Schizosaccharomyces pombe: one gene and its partner. The protein of the gene in region 2 purifies or fractionates together with the protein of the main gene of each other region. This does not show direct contact. Each region holds a gene or a part of one and is shown on either strand. Other genes may lie near its edges.

Evidence for each region.
Region 1: the proteins of cdk11 (region 2) and lcp1 purify together in Schizosaccharomyces pombe (affinity purification with mass spectrometry, with the first as the bait; one study listed by BioGRID). This does not show direct contact.

Annotation. Positions count from the first base shown.
Region 1 is NC_003424.3:704,122-719,967, forward strand, and holds lcp1 (cyclin L family cyclin), read right to left. Parts: upstream 13,759-15,846; 5' UTR 13,684-13,758; coding exon 13,553-13,683; exon of another isoform or gene 13,465-13,552; coding exon 12,819-13,464; 3' UTR 12,753-12,818; downstream 1-12,752. Other genes in the region: ATP-dependent DNA translocase Rdh54, read left to right, coding at 84-159, 201-415, 452-642, 695-768, 804-935, 974-1,037, 1,074-1,172, 1,212-1,369 and 5 more; DNA-binding transcription factor Atf31, read right to left, coding at 2,723-3,352; SPOM_SPAC1296.01C (phosphoacetylglucosamine mutase), read right to left, coding at 3,934-4,006, 4,047-4,810, 4,858-5,218, 5,307-5,523, 5,624-5,709, 5,775-5,902; cox4 (cytochrome c oxidase subunit IV), read left to right, coding at 7,180-7,291, 7,647-8,029; serine carboxypeptidase Sxa2, read right to left, coding at 8,370-9,893; mug65 (spore wall assembly protein), read left to right, coding at 11,359-11,414, 11,462-11,600, 11,873-12,025, 12,102-12,500; NADPH-dependent diflavin oxidoreductase Tah18, read left to right, coding at 15,326-15,460, 15,542-15,619, 15,670-15,767, 15,805-15,846.
Region 2 is NC_003423.3:1,788,699-1,804,890, reverse strand, and holds cdk11 (Cdk11-cyclinL compex kinase subunit Cdk11), read right to left. Parts: upstream 9,911-16,192; 5' UTR 9,652-9,910; coding exon 8,797-9,651; intron 8,752-8,796; exon of another isoform or gene 8,739-8,751; coding exon 8,397-8,738; 3' UTR 8,212-8,396; downstream 1-8,211. Other genes in the region: SPOM_SPBC18H10.18C (uncharacterized protein), read left to right, coding at 1,762-2,152, 2,198-2,535; mhr1 (mitochondrial 54S ribosomal protein mL67 ), read left to right, coding at 3,633-4,160; vacuolar membrane cation-chloride cotransporter Vhc1, read right to left, coding at 4,679-6,090, 6,137-7,877; rps1601 (40S ribosomal protein uS9), read right to left, coding at 10,351-10,398, 10,570-10,944; rps1402 (40S ribosomal protein uS11), read right to left, coding at 12,088-12,507; RNase MRP subunit, ribosomal protein L7-like Rpl701, read left to right, coding at 12,676-12,804, 13,246-13,872; PPR repeat-containing protein Ppr2, read left to right, coding at 14,209-15,507; splicing-associated factor Saf4, read left to right, coding at 15,845-16,105, 16,151-16,192.

The DNA of each region.
Region 1 (15,846 bases), on a different chromosome or scaffold from region 2:
ACATGTCGAACTTACTAAAAATGAAGTCGCAAACAATATAGCATCTTTTATTGAGAGATATTTTTTATTAATATATGTTAAAGACTCGGATCCTGTCATTCGAGGGTGCCACAAATCAAAGAAGGAGAATTGCTTCGCATTTCCGGGAAAGAAATATCTGTAAGATATACATGTAAGCGAATGTTTCTCATCATCTTTAGATTGAGAAGGAAATCTCTGCAGAAAGTTATGAAGCAGGCACACATATAGATGATTCTCTCCGAGACGTTCATATGCCTGAAATGAAGCGTAAATTCAAGCCACCTTTGAGACCTAACACAATGTACCAGACAATATCAGCACTACCCAAACCGAGGCATGATCCTACTGTGCTTGGAGCTTTGGTGATGAGCAGGCCCAAGACTTGGGATCCAAGGTATGGTAAAAGTGAATGCTTGATCTAACATTACAGGACGCATGTAGATGTTGTTATTGATCCTTTCCTTTCAAAGCATCTTTATTCTCATCAGCGGGAAGGAGTTTCCTTTCTTTACGACTGTTTATTAGGAATGGAAGGAAAATGTGGATATAGTGCAATTTTGGCTGATGAAATGGGCTTAGGAAAAACGTTGCAAACTATAACAGTTGTCTGGACTTTATTGAGTATGAGACTTAGGGTTTTTTTTAACTTTCATTCTCTAATCTTATTATTTAGAGCAGTCTTATTACGCCAATCGTTCTTCGACTATAAACAATGCAATGGTCGTAGCACCTGTCACTCTTTTGAAGGTAAGAAGTTTCAAAACTTCATTACTAATGGCTAGAATTGGGAAAATGAGTTTTATAATTGGCTCGGTCACGAGCGTATTCATGTTTATATAGCTAGATGCGCTGAAGATTTCCAAGAATTTACGTCGAACAAAACTTATTCGATTATCATTACAGGATATGAAACGGTAATTCCTTTATTTATTCTTTTTTCTAATTGCTAAAGGTTTGTACGTACTTGAGAAACTATGGATGCGGGATTGATATTGATCTTCTAATTTGCGACGAAGGTATTGATTTGTTCATAAATAGTTTATTAATCTTAGCTCACCGCTTGAAGTCCATGAGTAGTCAGACTTGGATTACGCTGAATAAGCTAAAAACTAGAAAGAGGCTTCTTCTCACTGGTACGCCTTTACAAAACGGTATGAATCAGTGAATGCTATTTAATTTTAACCGCTCAGATTTGTCAGAATATTTCTCTATGGTTAACTTTATAATTCCTGGATCTCTGGGGACCCCAAATTCTTTTAAAGCTCAGTATGAGCGGCCTATATTAAGGAGTAGATCAATGAATGCTTCCTCTAGGGACATATCATTGGGAGCTGCAAGACTTCAAAGGGTTTGTTTACTAAAGATAAATTTTATACTGATTTTTAGCTTTTTGAATTTACAAGCAATTTCACGTTAAGGAGGAAAGCCAATATACTGGCTAAACATTTACCGCCAAGAAGTATGCAAATATTAAAATCAGTATTAACATAATAGCCGACATTGTTTTATTCATAAAACCAACACATCAACAAGAGAATGTTTATGGACATGTTCTCGATGGTTTCAAGTCAAGCGTTGATCAGAAGGGCTATTATCTTAAAATTTTGACTCGCTTGAGCAAGATATGCAATAGCACCATTTTATTGAGAAATGAAAAGGAAAATTTTTTGTCAACGGAGTTGCAAGATAAGCATGTATTCGAGCAAGAGAATATGTTGCTCTCCTCTAGCAAACTGCAAATATTGGCTGCGCTACTTAAAAGTTTCCAAAGGGGTTGCCAAAAAGCTGTTATTGTGTCCCAATATAAAGAAACTCTCGAGTTGATTGAATTGTTTTTATCAATTTTGCATGTCCGTTTCTGTAAATTGCTTGGAAGTACTCCTTTCTCTGAGCGTGATTTAATAGTACACAATTTCAATACTTCCAGCTTCAAAGAATTTAGTGTGCTTTTACTTTCAAGCAAAGCTGGTGGCTGCGGTTTAAATCTTACCGGATCCACTAGGTTAATAATTTACGAACCAAGTTGGAACCCTGCCCAAGATTTGCAAGCATTGTCAAGGATATATAGAAGCGGGCAAAAGCGGCCAGTCTGTATATACACATTTTTAAGGTACGACCGCTTTTACGAATAACATATTAAGTTATGCAGCAGTGGAATGCTAGATGAGCGCATTTTTATTCGCCAAAATACTAAGCAAGGGCTTTCAAGTTCGTTCATAGTATGTGATTTATTATAAAATTTTATACTGACTTGATTGTAGGATTCCGATGCAAGCCAAAAGAAGAATTTTTTTACGGGTGAAGACATCAAGACACTTTTTTCATATTCAAAAACTGAAACTTGCTTGACATATGAATTAGCATTTGATTCTGATGAAATTGATTCATTAACAAAGAAAAAAGATCCGTTAACTAAAATTGACCATACGATTGATTCCCCAAATACGAAGGAAAAAGATAAAGAAATCAGTTCTTGGAAAAAGGCTTCTGAATATATGGATACTAATTTGGTAAGTTGTATTTTCATCCTAATATTAATGGCCAGGGGAAAAAGTGTCCAGAGAACGCATTTCAAGGATGGACTTGGCAATTTCCGAATGACCTAAGTATTATGAATGGCGTAGAAGATTATATCCCTCTTGAGCCTTTACCTATCAACTGTCTAATGCATAAAAAGTTCGAATAGATCTATTTCGGACTTTTAAGGAGGCGTAAGCGGTTTTTCCTTGCCCATTAGAAACAACGCTTTTGAGCAAGCCTTCGATACTGGGCAATCTCTATGAGCAAACACCAAGGTTCTCAGTTTAATTATTTCTTCTCTTAAATCATTAGCACTTTGCAAAAGCTCCTTGTTTTCAGAAGTGTAGTAGTTGACTTGGTCTTGTAATGTTTGTAAGTACTTTTTCTTTTTTATCCTACACTTTTGGGCAGCTTGTCTGTTTCTGGCTTTCAACATTGACTGCTTAGTTCCAGTTAATTTGGAAGTGTTTTCATCACCTGAGTCATCCAGCTCTCGTGATGGTGAGTTGTGTGAAGCCTCGGAAATTATACTGGGGCTTTTAGAGGCAGTGTATTCTGATAATTCATCAAAATCGCTTCTCCTGATATTATATGGATCATTGTTAATAGGGGATCGATCGTCGCCGAGCTCTAAAGCTTTACGTTTGGCTGTCAATAAAATCTGAGTTTGCATAAATTGTGAAAAATCGAGGGTTTGGGAAATTGAGATGTCTTTTTCGAAACGAGAAAGATAAATTGAGTTGTATTCTTCTCCATCTTCATGCTTCGGAATAATGGATTCCTCGGTTGGTGTATTTGTTTCGTAGGTCATGCTGAAAATGATTTATTGATCAATAATTTTTTTAAGAAAAATTTATAGCGTCTTATGAAAGACTTCTTTTTCGCAAACGAGTAGAATTATATATTTGATTTTTTTTATGAGTTTTTGGCACCAACTTCTTTTAATAATCGATTTCAAAGTGATCACTATAAACGATAAAATTTGTACAGCTGGATAATGCCGATTAACTGGTAAATAGGTGAATTATTGAACTTTCCGTCAATATCCTTTATAACAGCTTGATACAAATATGAGCGTTTGTTTGCTCACGCGAGGTTTATATAAGTCCTTTATGAGGGAATATTAAATTCAAGCATTGTGAGGAAGTCCATGTAAACAAACACTTTTTCTTGTGAACACAACAACAAAATTATAATGCCTGGTTATTTTAAAAAATTACTATCAACAAACTGTATACAAGTATATTCGCATATGTATGCACATATTTTTGTTAGATATTATATAAGAATTTGGGTAACCAAAATTATTACTAGATATCCCTAAAAACAACATTAAACAAGACAGTTCCATCATAACCAATTTAGTCATTAACATTTAAATTTAAAAATTGTTTAATGTAATAGTTCAACAATGCGGAGGGCTAAATCCTCAGATTCACCCCTTGAACTAGCTTCCGCATACACACTACAATTAGAGTTAGAATGATAATTAACATTGAACTTACCGAACAGCATCCTCGGTTCCAGATGATCGAACAAATGCCCGACCGCCCGTGTATTTTGCTACCAAAGCGTCAATTTTTTCTTGAAGTCCTTCCGGTGTTACTAGTTTTTGTTCGGCATCAGTAGTAGTATAAATTGACCGGTCTTCTACTTCACAGCGAATTAGACGACTAGGAATTTCGCTATATAGCTGATTCCACTCTTTCAAAGTGCAATTTTTGTGAGCCAAAATGACTTCCACCAAAAGTAAATTAGTAATAGCATCTCCATCAGTTTGATTAATCAATTCAAAGACTGTTTTTAGAGTTTTTAAGGCATTAAATTGGGCTGGAGACAATACTTCATGAGAAATTATCTTTGATAATGCAGCATGAGAGACTAAAATTGTACCATGACCATTTGCTTCAAAAAATACTCCAACATCGTAAGCTTGAGCAGCATGGTAAAGATGCTTAAGACCGGGAGACACACATAAAACCGGTACCTTTAAAGTTTTTTGGAAAAATGCCGTGCTGGCTCCATTTGCATAAGCAGTCTGAACAATACCAACTTGAAGGTCCAAACCAGTAGAACGGATTAGGTCGATTAGAAATTGGGCAAATAAAGCGCATATTTTGTCACCATCTAACAGATGAAAGCTGTGAGAGCCAAACGCAAAATACACAATTCGATCAGCATCCCCGTCAAAAGAGGCACAACGGGCATGTTTTGGGGCACTAATACCGTTTGGAGGCTTTTGCTGAGTCCTTACAAAATCCGCTCCACACTAGTAAATTAGCATGCAATTGTAAACAATGTATCAAAAAAACTTACCGAGTTATTCAACAGTTCAGGATTATCAATATTGTCGTTTACGATTTCGATAGGAAACAGCTTTGGATCAATATACTTGGCCAGTTCTTTTATCTTAGCCGCTCCGACGCCGTTAGCAGCATCTATCAATACAGTCCCTTTAATCTTCTTTCCTGTCATTAAGGATTGATATGCCTTCGACAGCTTTTCAAAATACCCTCTTTCAGTAGGTTCACCTATTGCATCTGGGGTACCATAAGTTTGAGAAGCCTTGACCATGTAGTGTAGCTGAGGTGTAGTTAAAAGGCCAAAATTTTCGTACTTTGCTTTGCAGACCACAATACCGTCAATTACAGCTTGCGCAAGGATTTCTGAAGTAGACCTAAGTATTAGATGTTAGTCTTGGACATAAGATTTAAAAAAGCGGAGAAATTAAGTGATCTAATATCGACAATAAAAGTAAAACAAACCTTGAGTCATAGCCAACAAACACCCGAGCTTCAGAACCGGGAATAATCTTTGCCTTTTTCAAAATTGAAGTTAAACAAACCGTTAATTCGTCAGCGGAATCCGCATTTACTACTTGATCCAGGTATGCTTCCCATTTGCTAGAATCCAGGCTACTCAAAATGTTTACGATCTTTAACCCGTTTTCGGAAGAGGCGTTGTGCGAGGCAGTCACCATAACTAAGATTGTTAGTAAGTAAACTCAAAGAAATACAAAGGAACAAGATGGATATCAATATGTAAATGAATCATCTCGCAATAATAAAAGTATGTGTCTTACGTCCAACAGGTTGTCCATGCAATTTGGCTGACAAAAAGCTGGCGATTACGCCTGTGCGAAAAGCAACACTCGAAAGCAGCTCAGCGCTATAAATAAAATGTTAATAATTTCCATTTAAACTAAAAGTAAGTTTCTTTTTTTATCAACGTACTCAGCGCGATATCCTCCAGTACCATACTGCATGGGATAAGAATGCACTTTGGCAAACTTATCGGATTCTCGAACAATTGCCGTTACAAATTCATTTACAATCGAATCGCTGTCTTCAGCATCAGACATAGTGGGGAAAATATCGATACAGAAGTCTGACGATCCTTTGTAAAAAAAACTTGTTAAAGTATCGAAACTATGAATGGAAGAAGAACGAAGTCACTTAAGCCTAAGCTTCGAGAAAACAGGTTGACCTCAAAGCTCTCTTAATAAAAAAGTACACTTAAGAAGTTAAGAGATATGACTTTGTGTTCTCAAGATATATTCGAGTCCCGAATAAGCACTGGATTGCTACTAAGTTGATGCCAAACGCGTCAACTATCACCAAACTATGGCAATTTAAATATCGCGGAATAATGAACTGCGTAATACATATTCGTTATTAGAAGGAAATTTGGGAATAGTTTAACGTCTACGAAGTTAATAAAAGCTTCACATATTTCCTCTTTCTTTATTACATAAATATTTATCAATTTGGTTTTCATCGCTTGGGTTATGTTCGAAGTTGCTAAATAAACAACTTAGTTGGTTGACTCAATAGTTAACTCTGTAAATTAGCTACAAAATAGCAGAAAGACACCTCAACGTTTTTTACAATTATTATGAAAAGCTATGAAATTTAATGTGAATAAACTAGATGAAAAGAAACGACTAAATGAACCAACGAAAAGGTATTAAAAAATAGTATTTCGTATTAGATTTAATTGATTAACACAATGTGGTCAGTAATATACAGAGAATGTATGCATGTTTGCTTTAAACAATAGAACAAACGGATTGTAATAATTGAGAGGACAAGATCGAAAATGAACGACCTGAAAATCGTTCATCACTAGGGAATTTATTTCTTTCGGTCATATTGCTTTTAAAATAATTAATATTCCCGAGGCAAACATGATACATTAAACCTCTAGTTCATAAAGAGTTGTATAAGAAATGAGTAAACAAAACAATTTAAGTCAATTTCTTCCAGGGTATAGCTCATGAACCTTAAAAAACACAAACAATCAGTAGAAATATAGCAATGATCCCTTTAATTATAACACTCAGATATGTTTAGCAAGTTATGAGCACCGATAGTCAATCAAGAAAAGGACATCTCATACTACTCGTTTTTTATACAATATAATTAAGGCAATAGTAATATTGGAACTTCCCCATTATCATCTTATTCGTAACTGTTTAAGAAATAATTCCGTTTTTTGTTAACCTTCTCATCTTTTTTTCTGTTGTAGCTTGCTGTCCTACCAAATTTCGTTACACAATACCGGACCAACGTTGGAAACTACACAACACCCCATCTCACCCATTATCAGGTTATAAATCATCAATAATTGTCTTTTAAGATGTTTATGAATTCTATGCTTCGTGTCTCCAGACAAAGAGCAGCGGTCAGGAGTACTGTTTCTCTGTACCGTGGCTTTGTTTCTGCTTCAATCCGCCGTAATGAGCAAAACGGTAAGTCCTTTGAAAGCTTAGTAAAGTTTGTCATAGCAGCTTAATGGTTAAAGCTTGTTTAGTACTGGCTATAGGAGTAAAGCTTCCGTTGACTCTTGATCTCCGATGTACAGTTTTGCTATTAATTATATATCGGAAGTTAGGCTTGTGTGCCCATTCATTCTTTTCTATATTTTACAGACCTAAAAAGTAATCAAAAGAATGAAAATCGACGTTGCCTATAGCCCACTCTCTTAAAACGCTTTCTATTTCATCTATTAAGTCGCTTAGTAGATATGACTTGTTAATTTGTGCTGCCGATACATTTTAGGGCTTTTTAGCTTAATTTTTATCTCCTTCACTAACATTCTTTTAGTTGTAAAAGCCGCCGCTCAAGAATTAGCCAACGCTAAGGAACCTTCTGATTTGATCGGACCTGGTGGTCGTGACGGCGAGGTTCCAACTGATTTGGAGCAAGCCACTGGTTTGGAACGATATGAACTTTTATCAGAGCTTTCAGGGAGAGATGCATTTGATATGAAACCGTTGGATGCTTCTCGTAAAGGCACATTGACGGATCCTATAATGGTCACTTCTCTTGATCCTTACCGTCATATTGGCTGTACTGGTAGTCCTTCTGGTTCACATAATTTAATTTGGATGACTGTCTACAAAGACAAACTCCGCCGTTGTCCTGAATGCGGATCTGTATACAAATTAAAATTCATGGGAGATCCCAACGCTGAACACAGTCATTAGTATGCTTACCAATCTTCCATATCCCCTTGCTATTTTCATACTCTTTTATAACAATTTAGCTCTTTTATTTGAACTTTGAAAAATCAATGAAAACTGTATGCTGATCTATTTCTTATTTTGGGAACGATTCGATTATTCGTAAACGTATATCTTATAAATAATTCTATCTATTCAACCATATCTTAGTTGTTAATTCAAGCACCATTCTTTTTTTCTTGTAGTCATGCGGAAATATGATCTAATTATCGTTCCGAGTTTCATAAACGATAGTTATTTATTGATATACCACATCAGTGGTAAGTCAATAAACTTGTATTTTAAATTTTCCGATATTAAACTTTTAATAAAGCAACGTATTTTCAAGCCATTCTCTAACCATTTGAGGGTCTTTAGATGGAGCCATGTGCCCAACCGAGTTGGACAATGTAAAGGCTAAGTTACGTTCATCCAAAGTAAATCCATTAGTTGTCTCTAAACTTCCAGGAGATTGAGTGAATCCCTGCCATCCATTCCATGTTGTATTTTGCAATGCCAAAAGAGTTCCGGTCCAAAGAATTTGAAGATCCAATGCCCCAGCTAAGAAAGACACTTTGTATTTTTCTGTTAAGCGTGGAATTATTTCAACGAGAACTGATTCTACGTTGTTACTCACAATCTTTTTGTATAAGTCAAAATTGCATCCGTCTGCGAAGACACCCTCGCCGCTTGTCAACGCAGTTGAAGCTTTCGTAGCATGTAAAGAAGAGCGAACATCTTCTCTGTTCAGGTATGTGATTAAGGGATCATTATACTCATTGAAACTACAATCAAGGCTAACATCATAAGTTATGACACAGCTGTTCTCTAGATAAAGTAAAAAGTTAGAAAGGGAATACAAGTCACATCCAGAAATTGAATTAAATACATTCCCAATGTCTTCACCATCGAGAGCTTCCCGCTTCCTTAGAGAAGTAGATGTGCTAAAGTTGTACTCTGGTCTCCATATTGGGTATTGTTCAGTAGGAAACGTCAATCTGTTCAAAACTGAATCATATTGACATTCTTTATTGCGCTTTTTAAACTCTTCAGATATTGTGGAAGAAGTATTATTAAAATAGTATCCAAGTTTGCTGATATGTTCCACCCAAATAGAAGCAGTAATTTGTTCTTGAGTTTCGTAGTCCGCCGTAAGTCCACTGACGATTCCCACGCCCATAAAATTTATATTCAAAGATGGTTCAGAAAGTAATGCCTCTGCAAAATTGGCGCTCCATATGCTACCGTAGCTTTCGCCGACAAGGTAGAGCTTTTTCTTCATTAAGTGGGGAAACTTTTGGTAAAATGATTTCAGGGCATTTACAAAATCTGAAGAAGCTTCTTCAATCGTAGTTGTATATGCCGCCTGTCCTTGGGAGTACCCCGTACCAAATGGCTGATCTAACCATAACATGTTGGCGAAGTTTGTCCAAGATTCAGGATTAAGGGATGGTGAGGGGCTACTTTGGGATATTTCAATGGGTCCATTTTCACTGAAAAAGCCTAATGTTCCAGCGCATCCAGGTCCTCCTTGAAGCCATACTATGAAAGTTTCCGAATCAACAACAGCAGGGGCATATGTATAAAAAAGTGATTTATCGGAATTCGCTTCCAAGTATCCAGAATATAATTCCGGTAATGATCCCTTAAATTCAGGAAGTGATTTAATTCGATCCGAAGAAGGAGCAGCGTGTTGTCTAGGTTGAACAGTCTGATTCGAGGAAGCAGAACTCGTGTTGGCTTGTTGTATACTGCATTTCCAATGTACAGTGTAAGTTGGTAAAGCGTGAATGATAGTCAATTCAATTATTATAATAGCAAAAAGAGATTTCAAAAATAAAGACAGCATTGAAAAGAGAGACAATGATTTTGAGCCTATGAGAAAAGCGTTAGCGCTAAATTAAATATAATATTTATCATATTTGGAATATATTGATGTATTCAGTTTCGAAACAATTCTTGAAAAGTGACTATAATTTTATACGCTTCAGTATTTCGAAAAATGTGAAAATGCTATGACTTACTCGAATAAAGAAACCGGATTGTTTATCTGATTCATTTTCATAAGAGTTGCATGCTATATATGATAATACATAATAATGGGGATTCACTTGAATAGATTAGCATTGTCCATTGTTTACAATCAACAACAATAGAGATGGGCAACAAAGACACCCAGCGAAGTACCATTTACTAGTAATAGGCTAATTCATTTAAGTTTTTCAACACAATAGTCCTTAATGAAAAAACCAATTGTTTCGTTTACGCGGCAAGTGAATAGGGTAGGACTAGAATAACCTATGGTCTGTTTAAATCGAAAACCAGCTTATTTCAGCAGCGATCATTTATGCATTCTTAATGCTTAACAATGCGAGGCGACTCAAAGAATGGAGAAAATTGATTGTTTTATGACCGGTGGAATCGAATAATTTGACTTTTGCTATGAAGGCTTTAGCCCTTAGAAATAAAGAAATAAAATAAAAAATAGATAGATAACAAGAAAAAATCAATGTCAAATAATTTAGTTGTATTAATGAAAAATAAGAAATAACTAAATTAAAAAAATATAAATACATTTATATATTAGTAACACTATTTCTTTTTAAAGACCTTGAAATATTATGTGAGAAACTTAAAAACTAATAAAAATAAATAAATATAAAAATATAAAGAAAAAGAAAAAAATTAAAAATTATATATACAATATACTAATAAACATAGTGATTAATTAAATGAAAAAAATAAATGTTTCTTAAAGCATGGTTAAAACACACAATGGCGGATTTCTAGCCATGTAGCTCAATTTTTCTGTTGATCCGTTCTTGAATTATAGTATAGAAATTATTGCAATTGCATGAAAAAACTTATCATGAAACTTTTTTGGTAAAAAGAGCTTCAGTTTGTTGTTTTCATGTTCGAAAGACAGTTTCTATTAATATTTATATCCGTCCTAGAATGAATAGTAACTTGGTGCACCAAAAAAAACATTGCAAACAAACACAGCTGTATTCTGTCTGCAACTTGCTTTTATGGGGAAGTTTTTTATATAAAACATTTTGTTGTTTACTTAACAATATACTTTAACCAAATATTATTCTCTAAATTGTTTAGTAGCTTGTTGCGTCATTTAGCTAGTAAACACCAAAAATCGGCTGTTGTCAAAACGGCCGCCGTTTTGCACATACAATAAAGAACCCACTACCCCATAATCTTTATAATAAACAGCTTTTAATTAATTTCTTTTTTAATATAGATTTTATTTCCTATAATTTCTCTCTTAATTTCTAGATGGAACTAAATAAGATCCTGCATAGATGACGGAATCTGAAAGGACTTCACATCTTGATATTCTCTACGAAAATCAACGTGGGTATGACAAAGCAATTTTGCAGTTTGAAACTAAACATTTATACTTAGTATTATGCTATGTGGGGTACCCTATTTCTCTGAAAAATCATTGTTGAATTTTGACCCTGCTCCTTGGGTTGATCAGCATTTTGTTGCGTCTCCTGTCTCAACGAAAACAGCAACTTGTCCTGATCCTAGTTGGGAATGGGTATGTCAATAACTTCTTCTCTGTCTTCCTCTAGGACGATAGCGATAAGACCAGCATATAGTTTGCTTGAAAACTGTTTGCTAACAATATACTGCTTTTGTTGTAACATTTTCCTCTCTGAATTTAAGAAAGCTATTTGTTTTACACCAATGAAATTAGCTGTAGTTGAACCATCCTTTGGCTCAATTATTTAAGTTTCATTTGGTTCTTTGCTTTTGGTTAGCTAAATTTGTGAATGGATGTGTTACCAAAAAAGCAGTTTAAATGTATAGGCATGGCAGCGTTGGTATATTGACATGTCCGGCGATGTCGATGAATCAGGTTGGCAGTATGGGTTTTCATTTACCATGAACAATTGGCATGGTAAACCGGTTTCTCTTCATTCGTTTGTTCGTCGCAGACGATGGATCCGGAAGCGAAAAAAGGTATAATACATCACAGGCTACTTTAATTGTGCTAGTTTGAAAATTCGTTCCGTTCATATTTTAACGTTTTCTATAGAAAGAATTGCGACGAGATGAACTTCCTCTTGTTCCAGAGTCCTTCACAATCTCCTCTTCATATCCCATACAAAGGTCAAGTACTCAAACACGAAGCAGCTTTGAAGATGATTCATCGGACTTTGATCTTTCAGAGGTTACCACCATTCCCGCCCTTTTACGCGCTCTTCAGGATAGTCGAATTGACCGTGAAAAATTGGAAGCCCTAGCAACCTTTTTGGCTTCCGCCAGTATAGATGAAAAGGTTTATGTAAAAAACTGCAAAAAGGACCTTCTCAAAAACTTTGTTTTTGAACATAGTTGCCGTAAAGCTAATGAACTCCTAAATGCGTCGCTGACTGCGGCAGAAGCATCTACCTCCCAAGTGGCTTTACGAGAATCTCCAACTCCCCAGGATTGAACAAGATAATCAGCCCACTAATTTCTGACTGTATCCATTTCAATTAGTTTATTATCGTCTTTCCTCGAATGCTTTCCTCTATAAACGAAAAGGATCTGAAAGATGTGATACGTTCTTAAAGATACACACGTGTTTTTTTAATGGTTGTTTATGCTTTATTTATAGCCAAGTTTGCAAAATTGATGTCGCTAACTTGTATCTTAACAATTCGCTCACTACTACTACAGAAAGGTATATACAATTAATGAATACTCTCGTTTTTTAAATAAGGATATATTTGTGTTCCATTCTGCAATGTTAAACAGGAAGATGTACACTTTAAGCAGAAACTTGCTCAGTAAAAATGAGATACAATGTTTTATGAGCAATAGCGCTTGTTTTATAAAAATTTTCCAAAATGCTTGTTAAAGAATCGATTTCTTCTTTTGTAGTATCAAAGACTCGATACCAGTCTTTGGGTAATTTCATACCGATAACTCTAGCTGCCATTGCGATGCAGCCGCATGCCAAACTAAACGGAGGATACAAAACGCAAAGTCGAGTTCGGCTAGCATCGTTTAAAAAATTCCATGTTATTTGTAAAAGCTTTTTGTTATCAATTAGCTGTAATGTTTGTAGATAATGAATTGCCAGCTTGTGAGGAATGACAATATGGGTATCAAAATTCAATGCTCGTAAGACCTCCAATTCCATGTTTGATAATCTATTCCTGGAACTATACATCTCCTCACTGTACAAATCGTGAGCAATGAATCCTCGTGCTTCAAAATTCGTGTCCTTGAAACGCTCTTTAAGATAGACTACAACATTACATATGTCTTGTACAGAAGCTGGAGTTTCGGTAGTTTTACTTCCAATGGACACACAAGCCATAACGATAGCATCAAGATCGGGAACTCTCGGCGGATAAAGTGTGCAGTATCTTCGAAACAAAATCAAACAAACAATTACACAATTTTGAGTTCTAACAATGTTAATAAAAAGTTCAAATGCATTTTATCGCCACAATCCGGCTACTAAAAGCTTTGGAAAATAAATGTAAGAAGACTTACAGATTCAAAAGAACGCCTGCTTCCTGAATCCATTCAGAACCTAATGTACATAGTTCCTCTGCATATTCAAAAGAATCAAAGGCTTCTAACTGGGAAGAAGAGGCAAGGGAATGTACCAAAGAATCTGCCATCAGAATATTCCTCAAGAATCAGAATTATTTACTTAACCGAAAACACGATATTCCCATACCCCGTTCATGACCTGCGTTTTTGCATAAGAATACGGTGGGAGTTTCGCTGAGCGATTGTTGTCACTTAGAGCAAATTATTGCTACTTGTAGCAAATTGCACCATTAAATAAAAGGTTCGCTTTGAATTGAATTTCGTAGTTCAGGATCAAATAAAATCTTCTAAATTCTCACAATACAATGAACGTAACTTCTTCAAAACATTAATTTTGCTTTTAATTCAAAAAGTGATTTACTCTAGTAGTAGTAAAAATTTACTCCGTTGCGGGGAGTCGAACCCCGACCGCGTCGGTGAAAGCGACGAATCCTAGCCGTTGGACCACAACGGAACCGTTGATTGCTTGTTGCACAATGTAATATATGTACAGTAAAATTTTGTTAATTAAAAATTAAATTGTTAAAATTTAGTAGAAAATAGTACTTTTTCTGGTAAGCTACTGGCAATCTTAAATATCGGTCGAGAGTATAAATAGAAGTGTCGATTGCTACATTAAATAAAAACTTAAAATTTACTTTAGTGTATGCGACAATGAATGACCTTGTTGTGATTGTCTGGAAACAATTCTGGTTATTTATTGTTATTATTATTCGTGATTGTTGAGATTGGACCTTAAGTTTGAATTTTAGAACATTGTAAATAAATTTCCTATTTTTGGATATATTTTAAATCTAAATCTCGTTTAACTGAGTAAATTCATATCAAGAACTCACTGACAAGCCTTTAAATCTAATTTTCTAATCTTTTACATGTTTTTTATAGACAAAAAAAACCTATTATATGTTAGTGGTAACTAAATGTTAAAGAAGTAACTCAATACCATATAGCAATTCAGATAGGGCCTTTTGCAATATGTAAACTTCAATGGTGCGAGTACATTTTTGCTATACAAATCTCTATTGTATTCTCTCGTACAATCGTTAGCATCTGAATTTTTAAACTTGTTGTACAAATATTCAATATGTTCAGTTGCATGGGATCGACATTGAGTTTACTATCTTATGTGATCTGATAAATTAAGCTGTCGTTACTGAAAGAGCTTACTACCTGGAAAGTCATAAACAATGCGCCATTTAATACTCTCACCATAAGCGTGTTTGATCAAAGCACTCGGCAATCTAATGGAACTCAGCGTTGTTGCTTTAACTTAGGATTCGGCTGTTGGATCTAAATTGTCTCGAAGGAATTACTAAAAGTTCAATAAACAAAAGTATTTGATAAGCAGTATTTTACTTATTACCATCGCTCTTAAAAAGATAAACTACGCATATTTATATTTAACGTCTACCGCCAAAAAGAAATCTTGTAAAGCAAAGACCTCTTAAGTTTGTTAGTTTTTCATTAAATTATTACCCACTTTGGCAATAGTCAAAATCAACAAATTGTTTTACCATCAAAATTAATAAAGTAAACGTTTCTTAAATTTAAGAAAATTAATTGGTAGCGTTAAGGAATTCCTATGTTGGCTTTAAGTTGGCATAATGCTTTACACTATCGCACTACTCGTCTTGCACGTACCTTTATCAAACTGAGCGCAAGGTGCCGCATTCCCTTCTGCGCCAAAATTTCAATCCAAACTTAAGAAAAATGAAAAATTCACACATATACATATTATATGGTTCCGAAACTGGAACCGCTGAGGGTTTAGCGGAATCACTATTTCGTAGTCTTACACGAATGGGTTACGATGTGTTGGTAAATTCGATGGATGATTTCAACTTAGTAAGCATAGTAGCTGTATATATATATATATATATATATGTATCTATAATAATGAAAGTTTGATCTAACTAATTATTATAGGAAAATTTGTTGCGTCCACTTCAATGTGTATTTATTTGCAGTACAACTGGTCAAGGGGAGATGCCCCTTAATATGAGGGTTCGTGAATAAAAATTTTCTTTTGTCTTTAGATACTAATGTGAGAGCAGAAATTTTGGAGATTCTTACTAAGAAAAAAACTACCCAACACTTTCTTAAATGATATGCAATATGCGGTGTTTGGTTGCGGTGACACTTCATATACGAGGTAACTTATTTTCAAAGGAGAGAATAATAACATATAGATTCAATTGGGCTTCCAAAAAATTGGATAGTCGGTTGCGCCA
Region 2 (16,192 bases):
TAAAAGATCTAAAAACACAAATTAATTTACAGTCACAATAAACAAATTAAATATTTTTTAGTATGCGGCGATAATTTTCGTTAAGAAAGGAACCAGTAACAGTGGGTATTGCATATGTGCATACAATTGGAATGTGGAGATGAAATGTAAATAAAATCTGCAAACATGATAAAATGAAACTTCAAGTTATTTTATAATTTAAATCCACTTTGATTTGACTTCCGTCTGATATGTCAAACGAGGCAGAATGAACATTTGCTTTACGAGTTAGGATGAAATCCTTGTTCACGCTCTTTCGCTTCAATGTTTTCAATTCATGCAATATTGTATAATACTCTCCATTTCTTTAATTTAAAAACTGAGAAAATTTTATTGTCCAGTTAGAAGGTCTATTTACAAATGAGTGATGTGTAAACATAGAAAATGAAAGTGTAATCGATTTGGAAAGAGGTCTCTCTCTAAATGTAGCACAGATAATGGATGAACAACACCCACCTAATCGGGTAAGGATTTTAGTTAATAAGAAAAAATTGTATTATTAAAAAAGGATGTTTTGCTTTTCCATGTACGGTATGCTCACCACTAATGTGTTGATGAGTACTGTTTATAGCTGGTCGATTCGCTCAAAATATGTAAAGCATGGCACATCTTTATTTTCCTCATATATTTACGTTGGAATTCATAATTTAAGATTTTTTAGGTTCTCCAAACCGTAATGATACCTATTGAGTTGAAATAAATATCGGCAATGAGTACGTGCAGACTTAAAACTCAGAGCTTCCGTGGAGAACAGGATAATTAATTCTTTAAATCTGAAACAAGAAAATGGTGATGTTGAACAGCGGCACATATTAATTTCTATAAAAATAAACATAATGATTTTTGAATTACAAAGTATTGAATGGTAGTTACAACTGATACCTAAAAAGATATAGTAAACCTACCAAAATCTATTGAGCTCGACCAACAAATAGGAAATAGTATAAAATACAGTTCAACAGAACTAACTCGCTCCAAACCTGTTGTGGAGTTCTACAGTCTCGTTGTAAATTGCCAATAAGGTATGATTTAATGAATTATACAATTGTTTAAATGTACAGTTTGATATCTGCTTCAATTATAAGTAGGATTGCGGTGAGCTCTAATGATGATCTGTTGTATTACTAGATGTATGAATACATAGTAACCTGAGTTATTGATGTCGGTATTGTTTGTAACCTAACGCTGATATAGCTCATGGCTGAACCTCGCTCCTCAATTCAATTTTCAAGTTATAGTATTCAAAATCAGTATTATTGTTACTGGTAAATATCTTATTATAATTGGTAATTTAATATCTTGGATAAACTATTCATGCAAAACTAGTAGAGTAAATAAAACATGTAACATAATAGTAACTCGCGATGCAAAAACATTATAGCGGTCTTTAGTGTAGCCCACTGTCTAATAACTAGTGTTGCATACTTTTCAAAGTATGATAAAACGAAGCAAGGCATCGCTATTATAGCGTATTGGTACGCAGTGCCTAATTAATGCTAACTTGTGCGTAAATTGATATTGACAGCACAATGATTCAATTTCATTCCTTAACAAGAGCCATCTCTTTTTGTTGGATGCTTAGAACGCGTGGATTTTTAGGCTATTCAAGTGTTTGGTTTTGATCTATTTATCTATTTTATATTTTAATTTCGCATTTTATTTTGCAATGTTCAAGTTGGAACTCAAACGTATATAATCACTATTGGTAAAAGGCTCTTCAAAATGCCAGACGAAAAGTTACCTCAATACAATGAAGTTTGGAATGATTTGGAGAAGGGTTGTTTACATTCTTGTCCTTCATATTCAGTCAATAATCATGTAAACAATCCAATTGTCAAACAAAACTCAACATTAACACAACCATCGTTACGAAAAAAAAATACAATGGCTGCACCTGCTAGATTAAGAAAGCGTTCGGAAAATGTGCGACTTACACAAGCTAGATATGCGATATTTCATATCTTCCTTCCTTTCATTCTTACTTTATTGCTTTATCATAATTTTTATAATTATTTCGATCAGGCATTGGCGGATCTTAATTCTGTGGTTAAATATGTTATTGAAACTATAGTGTTAATATTTACATACGTGATGACAGTGATTATTGTTTATTGTAAGTTTTTGAGATGATTTGAATTCATGGCTAACGATTTTCTAGTTTCATTTTCGTTAATTAAATTAGCGTTTGAAGAAGCTTATGTTTATGCACCATCTGTAGCTAAAGCGAATGAAGGTCTAGCTAAACATGTAGCTAAAACGATTGCAGGCCTAGTTAAATATGTAGCTAAAGCAATTCAAGGTTTGGCTCATATTATTTTATCCTTACTGTTGTTTATTCTCGGGCTCGAAGTAATAGAACAAGATGAAGAGACTGGCGACGTTGAAATGTCGTCTATGCGAGGCCAAGCAATTACCACAGAGCCAGCAAGTGACAACACAATGGCTGAGGGAACCGATTGCAACACTTCTAAAGATGTAGAATCGGGCAGCAGCTAAAAGTCATGGCTAGAAAAAAAAATCAAGGGGCTGCCAACCAGCTGCGAGTGTCTTTTTTATTTCATTACTAATTTTCTTACTTTCCTGCAGAAGCTCCTTTTTTCCCCTTTATTTCTATTTCTTGTATTATTACCTTATACGCATTGTCACTTAATCATTTCCGATGACAGTCATCACTCTTTTTCCATACATACATTTTTGTCTCTGTTATAGAGTAAACACGATGTGTTTCTGTGGTGCTAGGAAAAGTCATTTAACTAATGAATCTGGTTGTCAATTATAAATTAATCATCCTCTTTATTGTTTTACCAAATTGATATACAATCCTTAATTATGACTTTGTAAGATTTGCGAATTAAAAAATTGAACAAGTAAGGCATTACTCAAAAGACGCAAAGTAGTGATTTAACCTTAGTTTCTGTTTAATGCATAAAATGAGGATTCCATATATCATTTTCAAGTGTTCGGAGCTTTAAAATACAGTATATACAGGAAATATAAGTTCAAACTTGTTTCTAAAACAAATAAAAATGAAAAATCAATTTGGTGTAGAGCGAAAACCTATTTTAAATAATGCGATTTCCCAATTCCTGGTCAGTAGCAATTTCTTTACAAAAAGAATTAAAAAATTATTCAATTTGTATTATATGAAATCTTTCGTATTCAAAATCTACCAACATTCAGCCCAAGCGAAAAGTAATATTTTTTGCTATGTCCATAGGTAACAATATAATTTATTTCAGAGAACACCCATTGAAATTGCTGCTTATATTAACTGTGTAACATAATATATTAGGTCACAGAGAGATTCATTGCACTTTAAGTATCGTTAAGCAGATACCGAAATACGTGAGCGACACTTTAAATAGATATTAAACTGCGTAGCTGACCAGTATTCAAATTTTCCGTCACTCACCGTATCATTAAAACATTTACTGTTTTTGGCTGCTCAACGCGCAATGCTGCCTAACATCTGTGCTAGCAAACGATATGTGTTTATTGGGCACAACGTTTATACGCGGACGCGCTATTAACAAACTTCGCATCTCTTACAAGCATATATGTAAACAGCCAATCTGTACTCGTAAAAGGAAAGAATGCTTGAAAAGAACAAGTATCTCTATATATTTAGGCATATTCAAACGAATCAGGTACTTTTATCTCAAGGAAATGTTTTAAAAAAGACTGCGTTGTTTCAACTTCCCTACCCACTTCAAAAGCCAGTCGCTCCAAATGGTATGCGACCCGCTAAGCTCCGTAAAGACCATTGGGTTCCTTTACTAAAAGTCGAATTTCCTAATGAATCAATGTTTCAATCTGTTTTTATGCAACTGTTAAACTATCGAAAATATCGTTCTGTTCAACCACTGACTAGTGACCTTTTGAAATTGCCTATACCCGTTCGTAGAAGAAAAATAATGCGACAAGAGGTTCCTAACACGATTGCGGACTTGGCAGATATTTTAAATAAAGAAAAATTTCCCGAAAATTCCGTTCGTTTGCAACTGAGTGATAAATCCGATAGTGAATATGCAGATTGGCCCCCTAGTGTGCAGATTGATTCAGAGGAAATTAAACTCTCGCGAGGTTTCCGTGAAAAAACAACCGTAGACGAAGCTAGATGAAGCATAATATCATTACTTCTCTCACTTTCTTCCTTCAAAAACACCCCTCATCCATTTTTAGGCTTTCTTAAAGGGCATTATATGAAGTATAAGCTAACACATATTCATATTAGCTCAATCTTTTTTACTTAATGATAAAGTCCTTTTTACTAAAGACGGTTACGAATTCTTCCCAGTGTATCCAGTGTATTGCACTGGACAGCTTCCTTAGCTTATCATTGTACTTCAATGCGAGAGTATTGGCTAGATACTCAAGACAAGATAAATTTAATACAAATCGACACCAAATACTCGTATCTTTATTATTTTACCATTTTGAAGTTTTCGAGCTCCTATGAAATATATGCAAGATTAACTCATCACTTTATTGCCTCGTTTTTTTTTTGTTTAAAGTTTGGTCCAGAATAAAAAAAAAATATTAGCATCTAAAATAGAAATCATGGACCAAATATTTAAATAGTTATAACAATGCCAAAAGAAAAGACTTTATAAACCAAAGACATAAATACCATAAATCGTTAAAGAGCGGTAGTTATAGTTAAACTCTTAGAGTGGATTAATGCACAAGGAGGTAATCCTTCCATAAATATTAATAAGTCATCAACATATTCCTCGCTTTTTCGAAAGCTCTTATGAGTGTCGGCCAAAGGTGCTGGTAAAACAGTAAACAATACAGAAGTATTTTTAGTATGTTTCAGCACGATTTCATTCATAATTATGTATTGAGATCTCGAGGATAAATCGTTAAACGTCAACTTCTCTTTAGAATAGTCCCTTCCTATTTTTTTCTTTGGTGCTAGTCTATCAGATGAACTATCTTCTCGGACCACGTTGGGCATCAGAGATGACTCAATAGTACTGTCAGAATAAGTTCTTCTATTTTCTTGTTTTGGTGATAAAGAACGGTTTCCGAAAGAAGATTCAGTCTCAAACGACTTTACTGAATGCATATGTGGCCCAAGGCGGAAACTCAATGGCACACTTAAAGGTGGAGCACTCTTATCAAAGCTGGCAGATCTAAAGTTATAACCAGACATACGACGTGGAAAACGAATAGGTCCTAAGGAATCTACAGTATTTCCTCTTCTTTTCTTTTCTTCCTGCCACCACGAGTCATCTTTCAGTAAGTTTTCAAGCTCGGAAGACTTGCTAGGTCTCACATGCTCATTTTTGACAATGTACCTATATGCATCCAAATTCATTGCAGCAAGACAGAGCACTACAACGTCGGCTTTGATACGGAACGTTTCTAGCATTTGATGCATGCTTTCTCGTTCTGCCTCTATTTCATTCTCGAATTCAACAAGAGTGATAAGCCGTAGCCTACAACCTTGTTTCCAATCTGAAGCTGTATGAAGGATCCAACTAAGTTGAAAAACCATAGTATACGTCTCGAAATTCGTCGCAAACGTTGGTGTACTTTCATTGACTTCTGACCCCACACCTGATATTCTATGAATGGGAAACATATCTATATATTGCTTTTCTCCCTTTCTTTTTGGCCAATTAAGTCTATCGAACCCATTAGTTACCATAACGTCCACCGAACCAACAAGCATGTCTTCCAATATCTGTACCCACTTCACAGGTAGTATATCATGCTCCACAAATTCTTTTTTACTGTCAGATTCTGATTCTTCACTAGTATTCTCAAGAGAGAAAGAAGAACCCGAGTATATACGATGTCTACGATAATTCGTATTAATAAATGTTAGCACAGCTATGTTTGGACGAATTCCCCCCAAGCCTGCAGAAGATATAAGACCACGGATACCCCAAACTTCGTCTGGAGCAATAGTTAGTTCAACAAATGCTTTGATACCTCGATCAAGGACAAACTGATGCCAAAGACGTTGCTGCTTTCTTAAATCATCCATGCTAGCCTGAAAATCATCGGATACAATAACGTGCCCTAAGATATAGAGGGAACCTATAATTTATGGGTTAGTATTGTCAAAAAATGTCGGTATACATGCCTTTCTTTAATGAATTGCAGAAACGGATAACATTTTCTGACCGATTCGGGTTGTTAATCAAAAGTAAAATTTGAGGCCTCCAAAACTTTATATTTTCTCTTGCTTTATTAGTTTGCAGCAAGTATTTTCGAAGTTGATGATAAATGATGCCTTGAGACACATCACCCCAATTTTTAGGAGGACATGTGAAATATATGACTACCACCAAAATTCCTGCAATTAAAAATGAGATAAAGGCATTCAAGCGATCAACGTAAAACATTACGCCAAATGACAAGATGGTACCCACCAGTGTAGTGCGTCTATTGAAATACCGAAAGGTAGGTCGAAAATTTGGGGTACTACTAATTCGTAACAGAAAACACGATAAGTTGATAAAGCCAAAAGTCAGAAGAAAAGTCATTGTAATCATCGAAGAAAGCATATTGATGTCCCAAAATAAACTGATTTGCGTAATTAAGTAAGTCACTCCAATTGCAACATAAGGAATATCATCGTAGCTAGAACCCTTTGCAAAGAAAAACATTCCGGGTATTAAATCATCTCGCGCGATTGCCTGTAATAGCTTTGCAGCTCCAAATATACCCATAAACGAGCTAAAGGCGCCACTAGAAAGAATTCCAGAAATGATGAATAAAGGATGTAAACTAATATGTTCCATAACGTCCATATCAAGTAAAAGTCCCGTACGAGTTACAGAGGCACCAACACATAAAATTACTAGCAAATAAAGCAAAAAGGTCGTTGCTTGAGAAGATATAGTACCTTTAGGGATAGAACGAGAAGGTGCTTTAAGATCACCAGACATGCTTGCGCCAGCCAGTAGACCTGCCGTTGCAGGAAAAAATACGCCAAATGTAGATTTAAAAGATTCATAACCTGTTCCTTTCTCATTTTCTGTGTAAGCAGATGCTAAATTTTTCATCAGCGTAGACCATTTTAATCCCGTAAAATGAACGAGTAAGGAAGGATCTTTGAAAGGATGAACAAATATCGAAGAGATTGGTATCGATATTGTTGAGAGTATTATAACCACAAAAAGGGCGTTTGAGGCCTTAGCAAAAATGGCAGAACCTAAACAACATAAAATACAACACATTGCGAGGACACAAGTTGTATACAAAAAGACCCACCAATATCCTTCGGGTAAAAATTGTGAAATAGTGCCTGATTCTTTTCCAAAAATGCTTATAATGGGCTCAACAAAACCAGAAATATTCATACCAGTATTCAGTATCTGCCCAACATAGAATATCAAACCAATTGAGCCTCCTAATTCGGGGCCAATAGATCTAGAAACCGCATAATATGCACCTCCGCCACGTACCATACCGTTCGTGCAAATTGCAGAGATCGATAGACTTGTAAATATACCTACCGCATAACTAATAAATAACATCAGCAATGTTTTAAGAACACCAGCTTCTCCAATAATCCAAGGAAATCTCAAATAAAGAAGGATGGAGAGTACGTTTAAAGTAGTTGGAATGAAACAACCTTCAAACGTTCCCAATTTCACCGCTTCATTTGGTTGTTCATTCTCAGCAAACGTTACACTTCTAGACAACGGAGGTAATTCATTAAAACTATTACTACGATAACTTTGTTGTGGTTCTTGTAATAAAGGTGTGGAAGACTCTAAATTTTCCTGTGTTTCCCAAAATCGTCTGGATTTTCGTACTGATAATCTATCTGCCAAAAAATCAAATACTTGACTTGATTTAGTTAAAAGTCTTGCCATAATCACAAAAAATTATCCCCATTAAATATAAAATAAGGAAGGCAATAATTTTGTGGTAGGAACTGTCAAGGTTATTAAATACTAAAAAAATTGGAAATGGTAAGGAAGAGTGAGTGTAGTCATGTAATAGAAACAGGGGTCCCATAGATATAGTAAAACCATCAGCAGTGATATAAGAAAAATTTTTTGACAATACTTTGCAACAGATTACTATCAATTCATGAAAGTTCATTACCAGCTTGCTTGAAAACATCGATGCTCGAATACACTTACCTCAGTTAAAAATAGGACTACTGAACACTATGAGTGAAACGTTTTGTAGAAAGGGAGAAATTTTACTCAAATAAATGGCCATAAATCGAAAATCAATGATATCATAAAATGTTTACAATTACAATTGCAATTTGGGGACTAAACGGAAAAAATAAAGAAATATCTAAATATTAGTAATATAAGTAGTGTAAATTAAGGCCAATTACATTTCCACGTATTATAATGCCAATATTCACTTCATCAAAATCACTTCTTTGGAGATGCACTACGAAAACTTTGAAACACGTTTTTTTCTTTTGATTCACCTTTGGCCTTACTAGGAAAAGTAGGAAAAAATTTAGGATCCTTGGGTCTGGGAGATTCGTAAAAATAAGGATGTTCTAGTGCTTCTTTGGCAGATATTCTCTTCGCAGGATTTAGACTTAAAAGTCGATTTAATAAATCGTACGCGTTTCCCGTTAAATTAGGGATAGAAGTACGAATCTTAGAGTGGGTAGGGACCGTAGGGTGTTTAATTTTGTTTGCATAAGGAAGAAGAAAATATTGGGGCCACTCTTCCCTAGTCGGATAACCGAGCAAATTGAATATCTTAATATTATTGTTAGGAATTTTTTAAGGTAAGAATAAAAAATCAAAAATCGCATACCTTGTATAATTGATCTAACTCACTTTTCCCAGAAAACAAAGGAGTCCTAGTAATCATTTCAGCGAAGATACATCCAATGCTCCACATGTCAATTTCTTTACCATAGCTTGGTGCACCAAGCAAAAGTTCAGGAGCACGATACCAAAGAGTCACAACTAAGCGTGTCAAAGAGGATTTGGGTTCTGATACTGGCCTTGCCAATCCAAAGTCGGCGAGTTTGATTTCGCCGGTGTTATTCATTAGCAAGTTAGAAGGCTTTAAATCTCTATGTAGATACCAATGGTGATGCATAAATGCCGTGGCAGCCAAAAGTTGAAGCATCAGTGTTTTGACTTCAGATTGTAAGAAATCTTCGGGCATGTTATCAAGTAATGTTTTGAGATCATGTTCCATGAACTCCATAACTAGGTAAACATCCTTCAAATCTTTACCAACAACCACTTTTTCCAATTCTACAATATTATCATGTCGAATGCTGGATAGTGATTCAATTTCTCGCAGACTAGTAATAGGGAATCCAATTCCATTAGGGTCAAACTTAATCTTTTTGAGTGCAACCAGGGTATTCGTACTTTTGTCAAGACCTCGATAAACGATTCCGTAAGATCCCTCCTCAATTTTTTCCAATATTTCATAATCATCAATAGAATTGCAAGACTTAAGTTCAGGTGTATTCCCCATCAAGTAGAGCCTGCAAGCATCAATGTTTCTTTCTTCAGCTTTCTCTTCTTCCTCTAATATTTTTCTTTTTCTTTTTTTTTCTAACCGTCGCTTTTTACGCCATTCCTCTTCTAATTTTTGATTTTCAATTGCGAATTGATTCGTTTCTTCTGTCTCCCACTTGGAGCCTGCCATAATGGTGTCTAATCACTCAAATTTTATCAAGTAAATTTATCGTTAGATTTGCAAAACTATCTACTTCAAATAAGGATTTATTTTTCGGTGCTTGTTTGTTCTCAATTAAAATGACATTGCTCGATAACCACTGTGGGATTTCTAACTGAATATTAGCAGAAAAGTAAAATGATCAAAACTCCTATTTTTTTTTCAGCAAGCCGTTTCGACATGTGATATTTAAAAAAGTAAGAAGTGACCTGCGTAAGTGCAGTCGCACAGTGCATAGTGAGAGATTTTCAAAACACTAAAAAAGAAGAAGCAACCTTGAATTAAATAATCTTTAATTGTTTAATTTTGAACACTCAAAAAACACAATCCATCATATGGCGGCGGCCCTACTCACCTAACTCGTTCGTTCAATCTACCATTTTGATATTCCTACAATACCGAACAAGGAATTTCCACTACACCTAATCGACTAAGCAATTACACGACAGCACTATAGAAACTATAAGTACTATTAAAATCTCTAAATACATTTCTACAGTCGCTTTCTCGTACACTGAACTTTTGTTTCATATATGTCAATACCGAAGAATTATGAATAAGGGTTTACGAAAACACCAACGGTTGGCTCGTACACAGTATCAAACAATATTTATGATAAATCAATTGTATAGATACATAATGGAAAAAAGCCAAACAGCCAAACACATTTTAACGGTAAGACTTTTGTTGACGAGCACGGGCACCATGACCACCGAACTAAAAAAAATCATTAGTAACACATTCTAAAAAAAAGAAACAAATGTTATGTCGTATCGAGAGATACAGTATCATTAACATTCTGTACACGGAACAAGTTCGACAACACAATAAATCGTGCAAGAAATCGATTCCGAAGATGTCATGAACTTCTCTTCGTTTAGCACATACCTTCTTGGGCTCCATACGACGAGGATCAGCAACCAACAAAGTACGGTCATAAGTAATGAGAGCCTTCTTAAGCTCAGCCTTGGAGTGTTCATCAACGAACTTTTGGTAGTAAGCAACGATGGCCTTGGAGATGGCTTGACGAATGGCATAGATTTGAGAAACATGACCACCACCAGAGACACGGACACGAATGTCAACACCGGCAAACTTATCGGCACCAGCGACCAAGATAGGCTCGTAGACCTTCATGCGCAAAATTTCGGGTTGAACAAGAGAGAGAGGGGCACCGTTGACCTTGATCAAGCCCTTGCCGACCTTACAGTGGGCGACTGCTGTGGCATTGCCTTTCTTTCCAAAGCACTGAACAGACTGCATGTTGGCTCGTGGATAGTTTTACTGGGTTGTAGTCCTGAAAGCCAAAAAAGTTTCGGCATGGTTCCTGTTTGCAAAAACAGTCACACTGAATTAGCAAAAGTTATTTTGTTACGATAAAATATATTATACGAAGCACTAAACTAATAACGTAATGTAACGCACGATCTGCATAACGATCTGTGATAAAGTTCGAGGTGAAAAGTAGAATTCTACAGAATGCAGAACGCGTGAGGTATTCTTTAGCATTAAGTGTTAATGTAGAGACAGAAAGTATTGAAATTTTCGTAAGTCTATGAGAATTTACTGCTGGGTTGCTTTGTTACAAATTGAACTGTGAGGGAACGGGGAAATATTCTGTATGAAAACCGAAATGACACGAAATTGAGCATAACAGATTGCTTTCTTCATACTATATTTCCTTCCTAATGTCCGAACAAACAAGGCAAAATGATTAAAGTGCTGTGATTTGTGATACACCAAATTTTTGGTTTAGCTCACTGGACATTATTCAATAAGAATTATTAATCACAATTTATTTAATTAAGAACATGCAGTGAAATATAAGATTACGAATGGTTTTCAACGGTGTTTATAAATTTGTTTACATGTGAAAAGATTTAGAAAAAATGCAAATTAAACAAGCATCGAATTATGTCTGTGCATTTAAAAGGGCTATTCAATACACTTTTATATGAAAAATCTACCGTTGCAACAAATTATAATCTTGAGAACAAAGCTCTCCTTATACACCGATGACACTCCGTGATCGGACGAAAGAGTGAATTGATGAAGGACATATATCCCTTTCTAATTGGCAAAAATGATAGCTTTAAAATAGTCCAATTAAAACTCTGTAATATTATTGTAGACTTAAAGAGCATATGTCAATTCTTTAAAGGAACACAACTTGCAATTTCATTACACCAACACAGTGGCTCACAGGATACAAGACATGAAGTTCTAAATATTCAAACAATACAAATATACACAAATATAGTACTACGGAATACTTTTAGAAGAAAATTACAAATCCATTTTTGACTGTAGATATCCTAAACGAATAACAATTCCAGTGAAATTCCTCCCATGTGACAGAAAAGTACCGAAATAAAATTCGAGACACTGGCAGATACGACAGCACACTTAAAGTCTGCGACCACGACGACCACCCTTTCTACGAGTAGAATCAGTGGGGATGGGAGTAACATCCTCAATACGGCCAATACGCATACCAGCACGGGCCAAGGCACGAAGGGCAGCTTGAGCACCAGGACCAGGGGTCTTGGTAGCAGTACCACCAGTAGCACGGATCTTGATGTGAAGAGCAGTGATACCAACTTCCTTGCACTTAGCAGCAGCGTCTTGGGCGGCTAACATAGCAGCGTAAGGAGAAGACTCATCACGATCAGTCTTGACCTTCATACCACCGGTGACACGAACAATGGTTTCCTTGCCGGTCAAATCAGTGATGTGAACGAATGTATCATTAAAGGAGGCGAAGATGTGAGCAACGCCGAAAACAAGCTCACCGGAACGGATTTGAGGGCCAACGTTAGTAGCCATTTTTCGTGGTTAGTTTTTGGTAACTGCGATATCTCTTTTGTTTTGGGCTTCTTCCTGTGTAAACTAAAGGAACAGTCACAAATTTGTGTCGAAACTTTTGTGACTGCTCATGGGAAAAGTTGACCACTAGTCTTTTCTTACCAACTTTACCACCAGACATCCACCATCATGGCTGTAGCATCGTCAACGGTCCCCTCAAAGGAGCAAATCTTTGCTCCTGAGTCTCTTTTGAAGAAGAAGAAGACCCAAGAGCAGTCTCGTGAACAGCGTGTTGCTGCCGCTGCCGAGAAGAAAGCTGTAAGTGTTTTGTCTATGGATATTTGTCTTTGGATGGATTGAATAAAGTACAGAAATCTTTTGAATGATGAAGAGTTTATCTATAAAGTACACTACAGATTGTGTTTTTTCATCTAGATAGAACCCTCCCACATTCATTTTGATCGGTTTGCAAGGGTTTTCACCTCCCAAAAATTAGTCAAACGCTTTAGCCTGTCATGGAATTTTTTATGATTGCTTTATTTTTATAAGCAATAATAAAGCAGATAATTGAGAAATATGAAAAACAAGATGATGACAACAAATTTCGGATAGCTAGCTTAGGCTGTGCGCGTTCCACAATTTACCATCTTTCGGGACTGATTACTGTTTTTCTACTTTTCTCTTTATTTATTTCTTTCCATCTAAATTACATCCATTCTAATTTCACAAAATTTCTACTGTATTAACTGTTATGTTTAGGCTCAACAAAAGAAGCGTGAGCTCATTGCAAAGCGCGCCGAATCTTACGATGCTGAGTACCGCAAGGCCGAACGTGAGCAAATCGAACTCGGTCGCAAGGCTCGTGCTGAGGGCAACTACTACGTCCCTGACGAAACCAAGTTGGTCTTTGTCATCCGTATTCGTGGTATCAACAACATTCCTCCCAAGGCCCGTAAGATCATGCAATTACTCCGTCTTATTCAAATCAACAACGGTGTCTTTGTTAAATTTAACAAGGCTACCAAAGAAATGCTTCAAGTCGTTGAACCTTATGTTACTTATGGTATTCCTAACCTCAAGACTGTTCGTGAGCTCCTTTACAAGCGTGGTTTTGGTAAGGTCAACAAACAACGCATTGCTCTTTCTGACAATGCTATCATCGAAGCTGCTTTGGGCAAGTACTCTATCTTGTCTATCGAGGATTTGATTCACGAAATTTACACCGTCGGTCCCAACTTCAAGCAAGCTGCCAACTTCATCTGGCCCTTCCAACTTTCTTCTCCCTTGGGTGGCTGGAGAGATCGCAAGTTCAAGCATTTCATCGAAGGTGGTGATGCTGGCAAGCGTGATGAGCATATTAACTCTCTCGTTAGAAAGATGCTTTAATTTGGTGTAGATGTTAAAAATAACCATATCTTTCCTAGCTTTGACAAAATAATTTACAACAAGTAGATTTAGTTGTTTTGGTCATTAGGTGTTATTAGTAAATTCATCGCTAGTAGTTACTTTCATTGTAATTAGCTTTGTTAACTCATTTTTGCAATCTTTTGTGTGCATATAGTAATTTTACCTCGTCAAACAGCACTTTTACTCAACGTTGTACATAAGACGATGGTTGAACTAATGATGTAGTGTCTTCATTCGTAACAACTCATATTTTATAACTTACTTCCTACTAACGCGGTTTTAATCCTAAACTTGAATAAACTAGTGGTTTGTTTAATGCAATTCATTAAAAGGACATTTCCGCGAAGGGCCTTTGTCGATTTGCTCCTAAACCGCTTCTGCTTGCGGGAATTTGCAACCACGTATAGTGTTTCAGTAAGTAATGCGCGGAAATTAGTACGAAAGCGCCTTTTAATCGCTGATGCTTTGAAATTCAAGGAGCAAGTCAACAATCTAAATGAGTTTCGAAATAAAAAAACTAAGTCATCCTTAATAAGAAACGATGGTTTCAAACTGGCTAAAAATGTATCTTCGTTACTTCAAAAAGAGTCTTTAGAGAAAGCATTGCATTTACTGTACGAGAGATCAAATGCCAAGAAGACGGTTGCCTATAACCTTGTACTACAATATCATTTAGCTAAAGGGCATTACAACGCTGCTTGGTCTTTGTACAATGATATGAAAAAGCGCCAACAAAAACCTAGCGATCATACATACTCCATTCTTCTAAAGGGATTTTGCGATGCTATTGAAAAGAATAAGCAAGGAAATTTTTCTAAACTACGTGAATATAGTGAAAAGGTAACAGCTAGTGCTCTCAAGGAGTCTAATAATGTCACATCCAATTTGCATCACATACGAATTATATCCAAGTGTAGTCTAAAGCTTAAAAGTATGGTATTGGTGTCAATGATTATTCCATCCATCAAACAAACATTGGATTTCTATAGTGGATCTCAAATTCTTCGACTTTTGAACGACTTTTCTATGTTCAATCCGGAACAACGTGAAGAAGTGTTAAAGATGGGGACGAATCTTTGGAATTATTTTGTCCTTGAATGCCAAAAGAAAGGAATAGCAGTTGATGAAAGTCTTATTTGTTCCTTTGTGAAACTTCTGGCTACTAGCAACTCGCCTCAAGTGAGAAACGTGGGGTTAAATATTCTTACAAAAGTGATGGGATTGGAATATCAGATTTTCGAAGATTCCAACTTGCGTTATCCTTTACCCCCATATTGCGATTGTACTTCAAGAAGTTTGGTTACAGCATTACAGGTCATTCGTCAAATACAAAACGGTGATTTGTTAGCAAGGTATTGGAAGTATTTTGAGGAAAGTCACAAATTTGATTTAAATCTTCAAGTATATCATGAGAAGCTACGTAACCTTGTTCAGCAGGGCCAAGCAGCTGAATGCTTAAATACCATTAAAAGGATGTCGCATAACGGTCCTTTCCCTACTCAGCAGACATTTTTGATTGTCTTATCATTATGCAAAAGGCCGAAATTTTATAGCTACACGAAAAGCTTCTTAGACTTGGCCAAGAAATTGAACGTCCCCGTTGAAGCAACCTAAAAATATCATCAAGTGTTTAATAATTCATCGATACCTTTTTATGTCATTTATAATTTTCTATTAATTTATAAGAAATGAATTCAAATAATCGTCATGTAATTTATTTATTTGTACATGTTTACCTTGTCCGTTTGAAACTGTAGAATGGAACCCTTATTATTTTAACGTCAATTTAGCAAACGTAATTTAAAATTGTTTGTTGAAAAGCCATGAATTAACTAAGAGTTATAATTATGTTTCTGTTGCATGCCACTGATTTAGCCTGAACTTCACCTAGACGTAGTATTAACTTAGGAACTACTGATTTTGGGCATAAAGAGCTATATACTCACTAAAAATGCAAGGATTTAATATGGGGAAATATATTCCCCCGGAAGGGCCGAATGCTAAAAGAAAATTTGATAAATTACGAAATGTAATTCGGTTTGAAATGCCATTTCCAGTGTGGTGCAACAATTGTGAAAATATCATTCAACAAGGCACTAGATTCAATGCTGTTAAAAAAGAGATTGGCTCATACTATACTACGAAAATATGGTCATTCAGCTTAAAATGTCATTTATGCTCAAACCCTATCGATGTACATACGGATCCTAAGGTACTGGTTTGATTAATTTAACAAATTTGTTACTGACATAAATAGAATACAGAATACATCGTTGCTTCTGGAGGCAGAAGGAAAATT